Linked DNA regions of Lytechinus pictus. The protein of the gene in region 1 purifies or fractionates together with the protein of each later gene. This does not show direct contact. Links are inferred from orthologs where the notes say so. Each region holds a gene or a part of one and is shown on either strand. Other genes may lie near its edges. The genes, in order: tRNA-splicing endonuclease subunit Sen15-like, uncharacterized protein LOC129269308 and polyribonucleotide 5'-hydroxyl-kinase Clp1-like.

The links.
Region 2: the proteins of tRNA-splicing endonuclease subunit Sen15-like (region 1) and uncharacterized protein LOC129269308 purify together in Homo sapiens (affinity purification with mass spectrometry; 4 studies listed by BioGRID and IntAct, counting the BioPlex papers as one, with this or other methods). This does not show direct contact. The link is inferred for Lytechinus pictus from reciprocal best matches to the Homo sapiens genes TSEN15 and TSEN54.
Region 3: the proteins of tRNA-splicing endonuclease subunit Sen15-like (region 1) and polyribonucleotide 5'-hydroxyl-kinase Clp1-like purify together in Homo sapiens (affinity purification with mass spectrometry; 4 studies listed by BioGRID and IntAct, counting the BioPlex papers as one, with this or other methods). This does not show direct contact. The link is inferred for Lytechinus pictus from reciprocal best matches to the Homo sapiens genes TSEN15 and CLP1.

What each region holds. Positions count from the first base shown.
Region 1 is NC_087259.1:12,404,469-12,407,602, forward strand, and holds the start of tRNA-splicing endonuclease subunit Sen15-like, read right to left. Parts: upstream 2,303-3,134; 5' UTR 1,911-2,302; coding exon 1,836-1,910; intron 1-1,835. Other genes in the region: uncharacterized protein LOC129277298, read left to right, coding at 2,303-3,134. UniProt on the Homo sapiens protein: Non-catalytic subunit of the tRNA-splicing endonuclease complex, a complex responsible for identification and cleavage of the splice sites in pre-tRNA. It cleaves pre-tRNA at the 5' and 3' splice sites to release the intron.
Region 2 is NC_087254.1:22,852,492-22,856,250, forward strand, and holds the start of uncharacterized protein LOC129269308, read right to left. Parts: upstream 2,383-3,759; 5' UTR 2,101-2,382; intron 505-2,100; exon of another isoform or gene 1-504.
Region 3 is NC_087257.1:17,667,619-17,671,377, reverse strand, and holds the start of polyribonucleotide 5'-hydroxyl-kinase Clp1-like, read right to left. Parts: upstream 3,011-3,759; 5' UTR 2,751-3,010; coding exon 2,652-2,750; intron 578-2,651; exon of another isoform or gene 468-577; intron 1-467. UniProt on the Homo sapiens protein: Polynucleotide kinase that can phosphorylate the 5'-hydroxyl groups of double-stranded RNA (dsRNA), single-stranded RNA (ssRNA), double-stranded DNA (dsDNA) and double-stranded DNA:RNA hybrids. dsRNA is phosphorylated more efficiently than dsDNA, and the RNA component of a DNA:RNA hybrid is phosphorylated more efficiently than the DNA component.

The DNA.
Region 1 (3,134 bases):
ATTTTTGTATACGCCCTCTATTGGTGGAAAATAATATGGCAAGAAATTTTGCATTTTTTTATCTCTATTTTTAATTAAAGGAAAATGAAAGGATAGATTTATTATCTGGTCATAAACTGATTACATTTCACTGATTAAAATAAAATTAAAATGAGGCAGAACGGTTTCCTATTTCCCATGATATGCCAAGTCAAATTTATCAATATTTTGATTTTGAAAGACCCGTGGAGATCGCCATTTTGCTCATCCTCCCTATATCTCTGTGGGGGGGTTGTGACGTCAGCGACGTACAACTCGGTGTCCGACCTCGGCACTCGCCTTTGATTGCTAGCATAAAATACATGGGCCAGAGTGGATCTGGCTGCCGAAAATAGGTCAGTAAGGGGCACAAAATGCAGCTTTTGCCAAATTCCTGATCCGCAGAAGAGGCCAGAAATCTCTTTAAAAATGATTGGCTGCACTAAAGGTGGAAAAAAACTACAATTCTTCCAAATTCAAGAGGAATGATGTTGTTCGTAGCGAGCATTTTACTGATTTCTTCGGCCGAGTATTGGGGCTCGAAGTCGTAGGCTCTCAGGCCTTCTAACTAAGTTCTATTTCAATACAAACGTCCGATAATACTTAAATCGATGGTAACAAATAATAAACAACGTTAGATATAATGAAATATAGCACAATTAACAATTTAACGATATTCAAACGGGATAAACAACCAAACTTCCAACATAAAAGTCAACACGATCACTCGGTTCAGGGGCCGGCGGTCGGCACTCAAGTGTTCATTACATGCTGCCGCGCACAGAAAAATCAAGCCATGGAAGTCGTGTGTTGTGGACACCAGAAGGAAGATCCCAGCACGCGCGATCCACTAGATAGAAATCCACTGAAAAATGCGGTTCACGGTGCTAGCTATATACTAACCTCGCAATACGTGTGATGAGTGGGTGGCTGCACTGTCTACGAACAAATTTAGCTTTGTCAAATTTGCCAATTTGGATATCGTAAATACATGTGTAAACATTTTCATCAAAACTCATCAATTTGTGTTTTAAACCATGAAATAATTTTAATAGCTTTTTGATAATTATTTAAAGTGTTTTATGTGTATATTATATTCATATCTTGTAAAAAAGTATCTATATTATGCAAACTCGGGGTTGGTTTCAGCCTGTGACTAGCTGCACATGGAAGTTAGTACCGAGAGCAGTTGTACGTCGCTGACGTCACGATTTTGAATGAACCTCGCAACAATGGCGATCTCCATTTAGTCAAGAGACTTTGAACGTGAAGAAGCCCAACTTTGAAGAGGTGGTACTCCACTCTGGGAAATCGGATTTGGGTATAAGTGGATTCATTTTTATTATCATTTACTTATCAATGATATTATGTGGTATTACATTTTGGGTTTCATTCTCCTTTAAGAAAAAAATAATTTAAAGAATCAAATTTAGGCCTACTTAAGAAATAAGGCCTTTAACTAAGGGCCAAGACCCAAGTTGTATGACGAATAGGTGTAATGGAAACTGTCAGTGTAAAAAAATAAAGCATTTGTCCCAAAGAAAAAGAGAAAATAAGCCAAACATTGCCATCCTTATTTTGCCACACATCGAGATATAACTGAGAACAAGGTTATATCATAACCTTGTTCAACCTTGAATGAGTGCGCTTCGCGTGCCAGAGCTCCATGGGCCTGGGTTAACCGGTACGTACTAACATAGAAAGAAAGGTGTGGGGCTGTTGACGTTGTGAATTTTATCACGACCAGAGAAATATACAACAACCCCAGTGAATAGTTGCACGTACGGATTCATAAAACGTATTGTCTGATTTGTTACCTTAGGATGATCTGAAAACCAAGAAAAGCGGTCAACTGTCACAGCTGTAGTTCCGGAATTTTGACCAGAATCCATTATTCGTTCTTGCCTCTTGGTTTTCGGAGTGACCGTGGTAGGTCTCGAAATATCTCGCACACAATATCAATAGCTCTCGATTCCCGCGAGATTTCACTTGTTATGTTAATTAGCCAAACTCTTTGACCAATCAGAGCCTGAATTGATGATGTCATATAATAATATGCACATGTTGATGTAAACACAGACATGTGTCATTCTAAATTTAGAAATGCATGGAGAGTTGCACTTGCTCTCCGATGTCGCAATACAAGGAAGACAAATTCCTGAATATATAAAGTTAAACCAATATTCACAGCAGCATTCAGTATTCCAACCGGCTGCAAGCCAAACAGGCATAAAGCCTTCTCGAAAAGGATTTTTCTTCTACTAGTGAGAAAAAAATATTGAGAATGGTTGCTGAAGCAGGAGAAATACAGGTGGAAAGTTTCCCCAAAGCCATCACTGGGAAACCACCTTCGAAATGTGCTGAAAAACTTACTGCCAAAAAAGCGGTGGTGTTGGCTCGCAAATCCAGTAGGAGAAATAAATCTCAGACTAAACCAAATCTAACGAATTCAGACAATGATACTGACATCGACAGTGACAAGAAGGAGAAAAAAAGGAAGAAATTTCAACCAGCTCCATGGTTGTGTGAAAACATGGGCGTTCAATCGGCAGCCCCAATTCGTTCCTTTTTGGATGACGCAATTGCCTTTATGGAAGGGAAAGAGCAGCCAAGTGAGGGCTGTTACAACAGGTATGATGAATCAGGATTTAACTTTGACGAGTATGAACGTGTCATGTTCCATCCAGTGAGATTAAAAAGGAAAACATGTTTAATGCACCGAGTGAAGACTAATCCCAAGATTAAGAATTATGCTACAAAATGCAAATTACAAGACAAGGTAATTGTGCAAGGGAAGAAGGTTGTGATTAATAATGGTGTGATGTCTCGACTTAGTGCACAGGATGAGGAGATCACAATAATCAAAGAACGACGAAATGACAGGACTTCTCGGAAGCTCGATCGCCTTGGTATACCAAGATACAGTGAATGGGTGCCAAAGGAGTCACAGACGGCTGAAAATGCATCGACGGCAAAAACGAAGCCAAATTACACCCGCGCAAAAAGGCCACGAAGGGGAATTCAAGTTGCCTTTCGGAAACCTCGCTGGACCCCAGAGCAGAAGGAGCAGCGAGTTTACATCCCACACGAGTTCGAGCTCGTGACCGCTCAAGTGG
Region 2 (3,759 bases), on another chromosome or scaffold:
CTTTGAAGTTTTATGAATAAAATGATGTATAATTCAAGGGCATAAATTGCCCCACATAGCAGCGCATTGCACTTTAAAAAGAAGGATTACACAGTCCCAGTCATTGCATTTTGTGTAAGTTATGAAAATCAACTTTTGCTGTAAAAAAATCTGCACATTCTCCCATTTAAACAGAAATATCTCTGTCAATATTTGACATCATGAGTTGATTTTAAGCACCATTCTTTTTATACCACAAGCTTTCAAATAGTACCAAATTTGTTGGGATTCCTTCAAAAGGCTTCAAGATTTCAAAAAGCCACTGTCTCCCCACTCAAACAAGCTTTTATCATTTTTTTTGACAGAACAAAGTCTGCATATTTTTCCCTGTAAATTGGAATATCTCCGTCAATATATCAGACAATGAGTAGATTGAAGCACCATTATTTTTCTTATTTCACAATTTTTCCAACGATATCAAATTTGTTGGGATTCCTTCAAGATTTTAAAAAATCACCGTACTCCCTACTAGTTTAGGTGATAATAGAGGACTTGTCTTAGGCCTATATTTTACTTTTAATCATACCAGTCAAGATCAACAGATAACGAACGTAGACCTCACTCATGTCACTCCCAAGTCCCAGCTCACAACACAAGCCATCCATTTCAGGCATCACACTCAAACAGCTCAACCTAAGTCTAAAAATGAGGGCCAGCCATGTCTCCAAGTTCAAAATAGAAACACTGCTCAAATAAGGTGTGAACACGAAAGACTTCCTTATGTCCCCTCCACTAATTTTTAAAAATACTTCTCCAAAACCCTCTTCTCTCATTCTCTTTTTCTTCTTTTTTTTCTTCTTACTTCCGGTTGGAACTTGGATTCGAACCTCTCGTTGCAGAACGATGAATCTCCAGTCTCTCGCCTTACTCACTGAGCTAGCCACAGAAATTGTTGAAAGCAAACGGTTTCAACCGATATTACGACTAGTCTACTCTCCAAGAGTATTGGGCATTTATTTTTCTGACTAAATATACCAATGATATCGGGAATTACACACACTCGAATTTTTGACGGAATAAAGCCATATTTTGGTATGTATCCAACTTTTCCTTCTTAAAGGCCAAGTCCACCCCAGAAAATATTTGATTTGATTCGATAGAGAAAAATCAAACAAACATAACGCTGCAAGTTTCATCGAAATCGGATGTAAAATATGAAAATTATGACATTTTTAAGTTACGCTTATTTTTCACAAAACAGTTCAATGCACAACTCAGCGATATGCAAATGAGAAAGTCGATGATGTCCATCACTCACTATTTCTTTTGTTTTTTATTGTTTGAATAATACAATATTTCAATTTTTACAGATTTGCCAATAAGGACCAACTTAACTTAACCATAAACTGTTAAAATAATGGTAATTCCACATGTTCAGTGAGAAATAAAACTTTGTTTCACTTGACGAGAAGAAAATTAGAATATTTCATATTTCATATAATAAAATAGAAAAGAAATAGTGGGTGACGTCATTAGTCTGCCAATGTGCATACCGACCAGGATGTGCATATAACTGTTTTGTGAAATTAAGCGAAACTTAGAAATGTCATAACTTTCTTATTTTACATCCGATTTTGATGAAATTTTCAGTGTTTTGCTTGTTGGATTTTTCTCCTTTTTTTCAAATCAACTTTTTGTTGGGGTGGACTTGTCCTTTAAATCTCTTAGTCAGATATATGTTGTTAGATAATTCTTGATAAACCTTCTCCATATTTTTTTTTTCAATTTTAGTGGAGGGGACATATGGACATGATGGAAGTCTTGCCAATTACACAAGCTATCAAGTATAAATAATCAAGGAATCGTGATTTCCCCCATAATTTGTGTGCTTAAGAAATTCCACATGCTGACATGGTAATGGTCGTTTTTGTGTAGAGCCTGGGCGCTGGCATACACACGACACTCAGTCGATAGTGAGCTCCATTTGAGAATTCTCTAACTTTGTTACATATCTACGACTACGAGTACGACTACGCAATATAACGCACAAAAATCCTGCTTTTGGGATAGATCAAGAAAAGGGTATAATATACGCATTTTCGAAACATAAAGTAAACTTACCATAAATCATGTGAATTGTGGACTTTTTAAATAATTTTTTTGGCCAGGCGTACCGTACCGGTCCTCCGTATTGTTTTGAAGTTGAATCATTCACGATACGCGGCCGTACCGTACCCTCGCGCTCTCTTGATTTAAGGCCCGGGCGCCGGCTGCACTCGCCTAGCTTCGGCCGGCGGGAGCGCCGCTCACATCGCCTTTTACTCGGCAGATAATGCAGATATATGCAGATCGGCGTCACTGGTCGTCGTCACACGGCAGTACACGTGCATTTGGACCTTGTATAGTATACAACAACGAACGTAGAGGGCAGCAACACACATGCGTGTTGCTCTAAGGAAGGTCAACTCCGCTCGAATTTTGTGACCACTTTAAAAAATAAGGTGGGGTTTTGGGAAATTTGTCGAGTTGATTTTTTTTCATTTGTTAATTTCAAATATTTTTTAATGAACAATTATTAGATCGGTCATTCTGGGTATAAATATTAAAAATATTACTTTTATTTTTAAAGAAAATATCTAGCTTAAATAATCATGATTTTGACATTTTTCCTCATTTTGGAATATTAAGCCTGTGACGAGGATACCTCATATCTCTTATTTTCTTCTGCTGAATTTCGCTGCACCACTAATAAATGCTTAGACAACCACCGTAATAATCGAGGTCATTTTTCTGGCCTGGGTGCGCCGAGTCTGGCCCGGTCGCGCAGCTAGCTAGTGACGTTGATGATGCGCTGGGGCTTCAGGCGACTCGTCATAGATCTAGCAACTTAGACAATGACGTCTAATTTGCCTGGCCTGATTTGAAGTGTAATGGCTTCAGGGCTGATGTTTATCAACGATGATTGTTCAAGGTTAGATTTCAAATTTTAAATGTCATTTGACTTTTAAGTCTATAAATCTGAAATAAAGGCGCTGTATCCCCGAAATCCGGGTCTAAATTTCAACTCTGAGTCCGAGACCATGGCATGGACGGCGAAAAAACAACCCATGCATCGGATGCATTGCATTGGCTGCGCGCTGCGCTGCAGCTGCACTGTGATGATGGGTTCAGCGAAGAGCTCAGAGAAAATAAGGTGGTTATATTCAATCCCGAAATGCTTTGCGAGTGGTCACAAAATCGTCTCGACGCAAATCACCTAATACAGCCGTCTGGTGAAATCGCTGATAACAACAATCACCGATTTGGTAATGATTTTAGTTTCCTGAAACTTATATTTGTAAAGTTTTAAATATCAAAGTATGTTTTTATATGTATGTATATTCCTCAACATATTTTTAAAGTTATCTTTGATATTGTTGTAGTCATATTCTTTCATATTCGTTTTTTTATCGCTACTAATTTGTTGTTGTATTGGATCGGCATTTGATTTCGTTGGCATGAACAATAAAATACGCGCGCAGCTCAGCTGCATGCGCGTATCGAGTTGACCTTCCTTATAGCAACACGCTTGTGTGTTGCTGCCCTCTACGTTCGTTGGTATACAAGTACATAAACACGAACAAAGGAAGCTACCAATGTCTCTCTATTCTATTACGCAATAATTGGGGCGGTTGGGGGAGGGGCATTATGCTAGGAAACCGATATGTTCAAATGCTAACTTTTCATAGATATCGTTTATAGGGTCGGTATTCATGATGCAAGAGAATGTCGCTAAATTAG
Region 3 (3,759 bases), on another chromosome or scaffold:
GCGTGAGAAACGACAGAGGGTTTCACAAAATTTACCTTAACCATGCATAGATATCATTCTCCATCTCAACACTTGGAGACAAATATGCATGACCTACAAAAAGTATTCATCAGTTATATATGCCATCGCTGACAAGAGTTGATTTTACCAAATATATCCAATTGAAGACTATAAAAAACATGGACACGAATATGACATAATATTTTCACTTGCATGATGTAAGAAGAGGGGTTCACAAAATTGAACTCTTATCAGTAATCCAGCATTATCTAATCTCACTATTTTGAGCCCAAACAGATTGTATCATGTACGCTTCAGAAAAATAATTTCAAGGTTTTCTTAATCATGTCATTGTTGGCATGATTATAAAAACATAAGCACTATGCGACTTGCAAACATAAGATATGACATAACATTTTCCCCATCATGATGTAAAAAGAGAAATTATTCACAAATTGAACTTTTACCAGTAATCCAGCCTTATCCCCAGCAATTAGGCGTTACGGCATCATCGTCAAGATTCATGCGGAGAGCAATGTGACTCGGAGCATTTTGTGAGTCTGTATGATGACTTGCTATTAAGGAAAATAAATGACAGCAAGGCATGTTGCTAATCACCTCTCTGCATGCTTACCTGATCTTAATGTGATTGAAATAATAAGAATTATTTACTCTTACTAATTCCGTCATCAGTGGGAACCTAGCTTTTACAAGCTTTGTTTTTTAAAGGTCAAGTCCACCCCAGAAAAATGTTGATTTGAATAAATAGAGAAAAATCAAACTAGCACAACATTGAAAATTTCATCAAAATCGGATGTAAAATAAGAAAGTTATGACATTTTAAAGTTCCAAATATTTTTCACAAAACAGTGATATACACAACTGAGTGACATGCAGATGAGATAGTCGATGATGTCCCTCACTCACTATTTCTTTTTTTTTAATTGTTTTAATTATACAATATTTCATTTTTTACAAATTTGACAATAAGGATCAACTTGACTGAACCATATATTATCAAACAATGTTAATTCCACATGTTCAGGGAGGAATTAATCGTTGTTTCACTTGGCAATGAGGAAAAAATTAGAATATTTCATATAATAAAATACAGGAGAAATAGTGAGTGGATGACGTCATCAGTCTCCTCATTTGCATACAGACCAGGATGTGCATATAACTGTTTTGTGAAATTAGGCGAAACTTTAAAATGTCATAACTTTCTTATTTTACACCCGATTTTGATGAAATTTTCAGTGTTGTTTGTTGGATTTTTCTCTTTTTATTCAAATCAACTTTTTGTTGGAGTGGACTTGTCCTTTAAAGAGGATCCTCATTCATGTACATGTACATTGTTTATTTGCACATTTTTTTTGTGAAAGAGCAAAAGGAATTTTCAATTTTTTTTCATTATATTGAAATGATCAAGATGGACATGAACAACTTTGTGGAATTCACGCAAAACATTACAATAAAAAAGTAGAAATCAAATTCCATAGATGAAGAAATTAATTTTAAGGATGAATCCAATATTTAAATTTTAGCTTTTTTTTCAGCTCTTAAATAGAGAAAAACATATGAGAAAAGAGAGTCCAATATGAATTTTTATTCTCAAAAGAAAATGTAAATGAAAAAGGAAATACTCACAAAGAAGAATTCAGTTAGCTTAACTTTTAAAAGCAAAGAAAAGAAATATAGAAATGTGTGTGTGTGTCTTTGTTCAGGGGCAATTTATTTAAAGCCAAAAGCTTCAGGTTGACCAGTCTCTATATTTTTCGATTGTTCCACTGTACTTGTAAAAAAAAAAAGAAATAAGTGAAAAAAAGTTCATCTAAACAGATAGATTTTTGAGTATGCAAGCCCTTGTGGTGTGCAATCGGGGAGGGGGGGGGGAGACTGCATTGCCATGCACAAGTGCACCAGAGGGGGGGGGGAGGGGGTACATGTACTGGAATTATAACATGATACCTAGATGTAACAAAGTCGAAAATAGGGGGCTCTGGAACTAAACCTTGGTCTTAAATTAAAATGGGGGTCTCCAGAACGGCTCAACTACATACATACAGTACAAGTTTTACAAAGTACAAACCCACAAGTTTTATCCGTGGTCAAATTCATACCCTATTCAAGTATTTTTGTGTGCTTCTTCGACAATTTTGCCCCCACCCCCCGAACAAGTATAACCCCCAAAACATTTATTTTTACTTGACAAAAATTCATTTTCTGACATCCTTACATGTACTATGTAGATCCTCAAAGTGTCACACAAGAATTAAGCGTAATGATCGAAAAAAAGAACATGGTTGAGCGTGTTTACAGCAACATAGTTGAGTGCACCCCTTCTCCCCCCCCCCCCCATCAGGTGCACAATTGACAGGAAAGATATAAAATTATATTTCCATATTCATAATTCTAATCTAAGAAAATAAAAAATAACTTAAAATATATACCTGACGATGTTGAAGTCATGATGTACCGTATATGTATACTGTACAACTGCAACAAACAGATTAAGAAATACACTGTACATACATTTATACCAAAAAAATATGATATCAAATCATAACTACACTGTAATTAATTGTAAAAACATGTAGGCCTATATTTTATCACAAATTTGTAAAATTTTAATTTGACAATTAAATTCTTACCTCTTCTCCTAGACTGGCCTGAGCTTTTAACTCTTCCCAATTTGAGCAATCTTTCGCATTAACATTAATTTCAACGGGTATTTCTTCAGGGGGTTCCATATGGAATTATAACAGAGTATTACACCCAATGACAAGCAATCATGCAGCTACTACATTCAGGAAAATGAATTGAGCTGAATGCAGTATAGTATGCAATATATTTTGTACAGCTGATCATGGACCTACTGGCTCATGGTTCGTAGTAAATTTATGCAGGGTACCCCTGCAGCTGTTCACTAGAATACACACATTACAGCTACATGTAAATTGCACAGGGAACACACACTATACACAAACACATGCTCTGTGCATAGAGCTATAGCTCCATGCTATGTGCATTGTATTGTTATGTGCAGGGGGCAGCATGCGATATGCAATGTACATTGTACACACAAAAAGCACATGTCAATCCACAAGGCAAAGAATAGTCTCCCCATGCACACTTTTTAAATAACAACCTTGGCTGACAGAATTTGTCATGTGTATGCTTGCGGGGATTAACTCATTAATTAATACTTGTACAAATGTGAATGCAAATAAATATACATGTAAGAGTGGACTTCATGACATAAAGCAGATTATTAAATTTAACTGAAAGAACTAGGAACATAACTTATTGACAAATTGACTGAAATCAAAGTCTACAATAAAAACTCATGCATATTCAATTTGCTGGAATGAATATTCATCAGGGCATGAAGGGGTATGGACAAACTTACAAATTTTACCTGTTTTTCAAAAAAAAATACACCCCGAATCAATATATAGTCAAATCATTCACAGATTACTTGAAGTAAACTACATTCTTTTCAATCAAGCTCCTAAAAGTAAAAAATAATCATGAAGGCAGACAAATATTTGACTGGATAAATAATTACTAACTGTACCAGGAAGGTACTCATGAATTGTACATACCAGAATCCAACTTTAAATACAGTATCATCAGTTAGGATTAATCCTTTCCTGTTACCTCTAAGGAGGTAGCAAGATGAATATGATGAGCTGGTTTGGATGATCTACATGATTACTCCATGGGAGTGGGGAACATGACAACCCCCCATAACCCCAT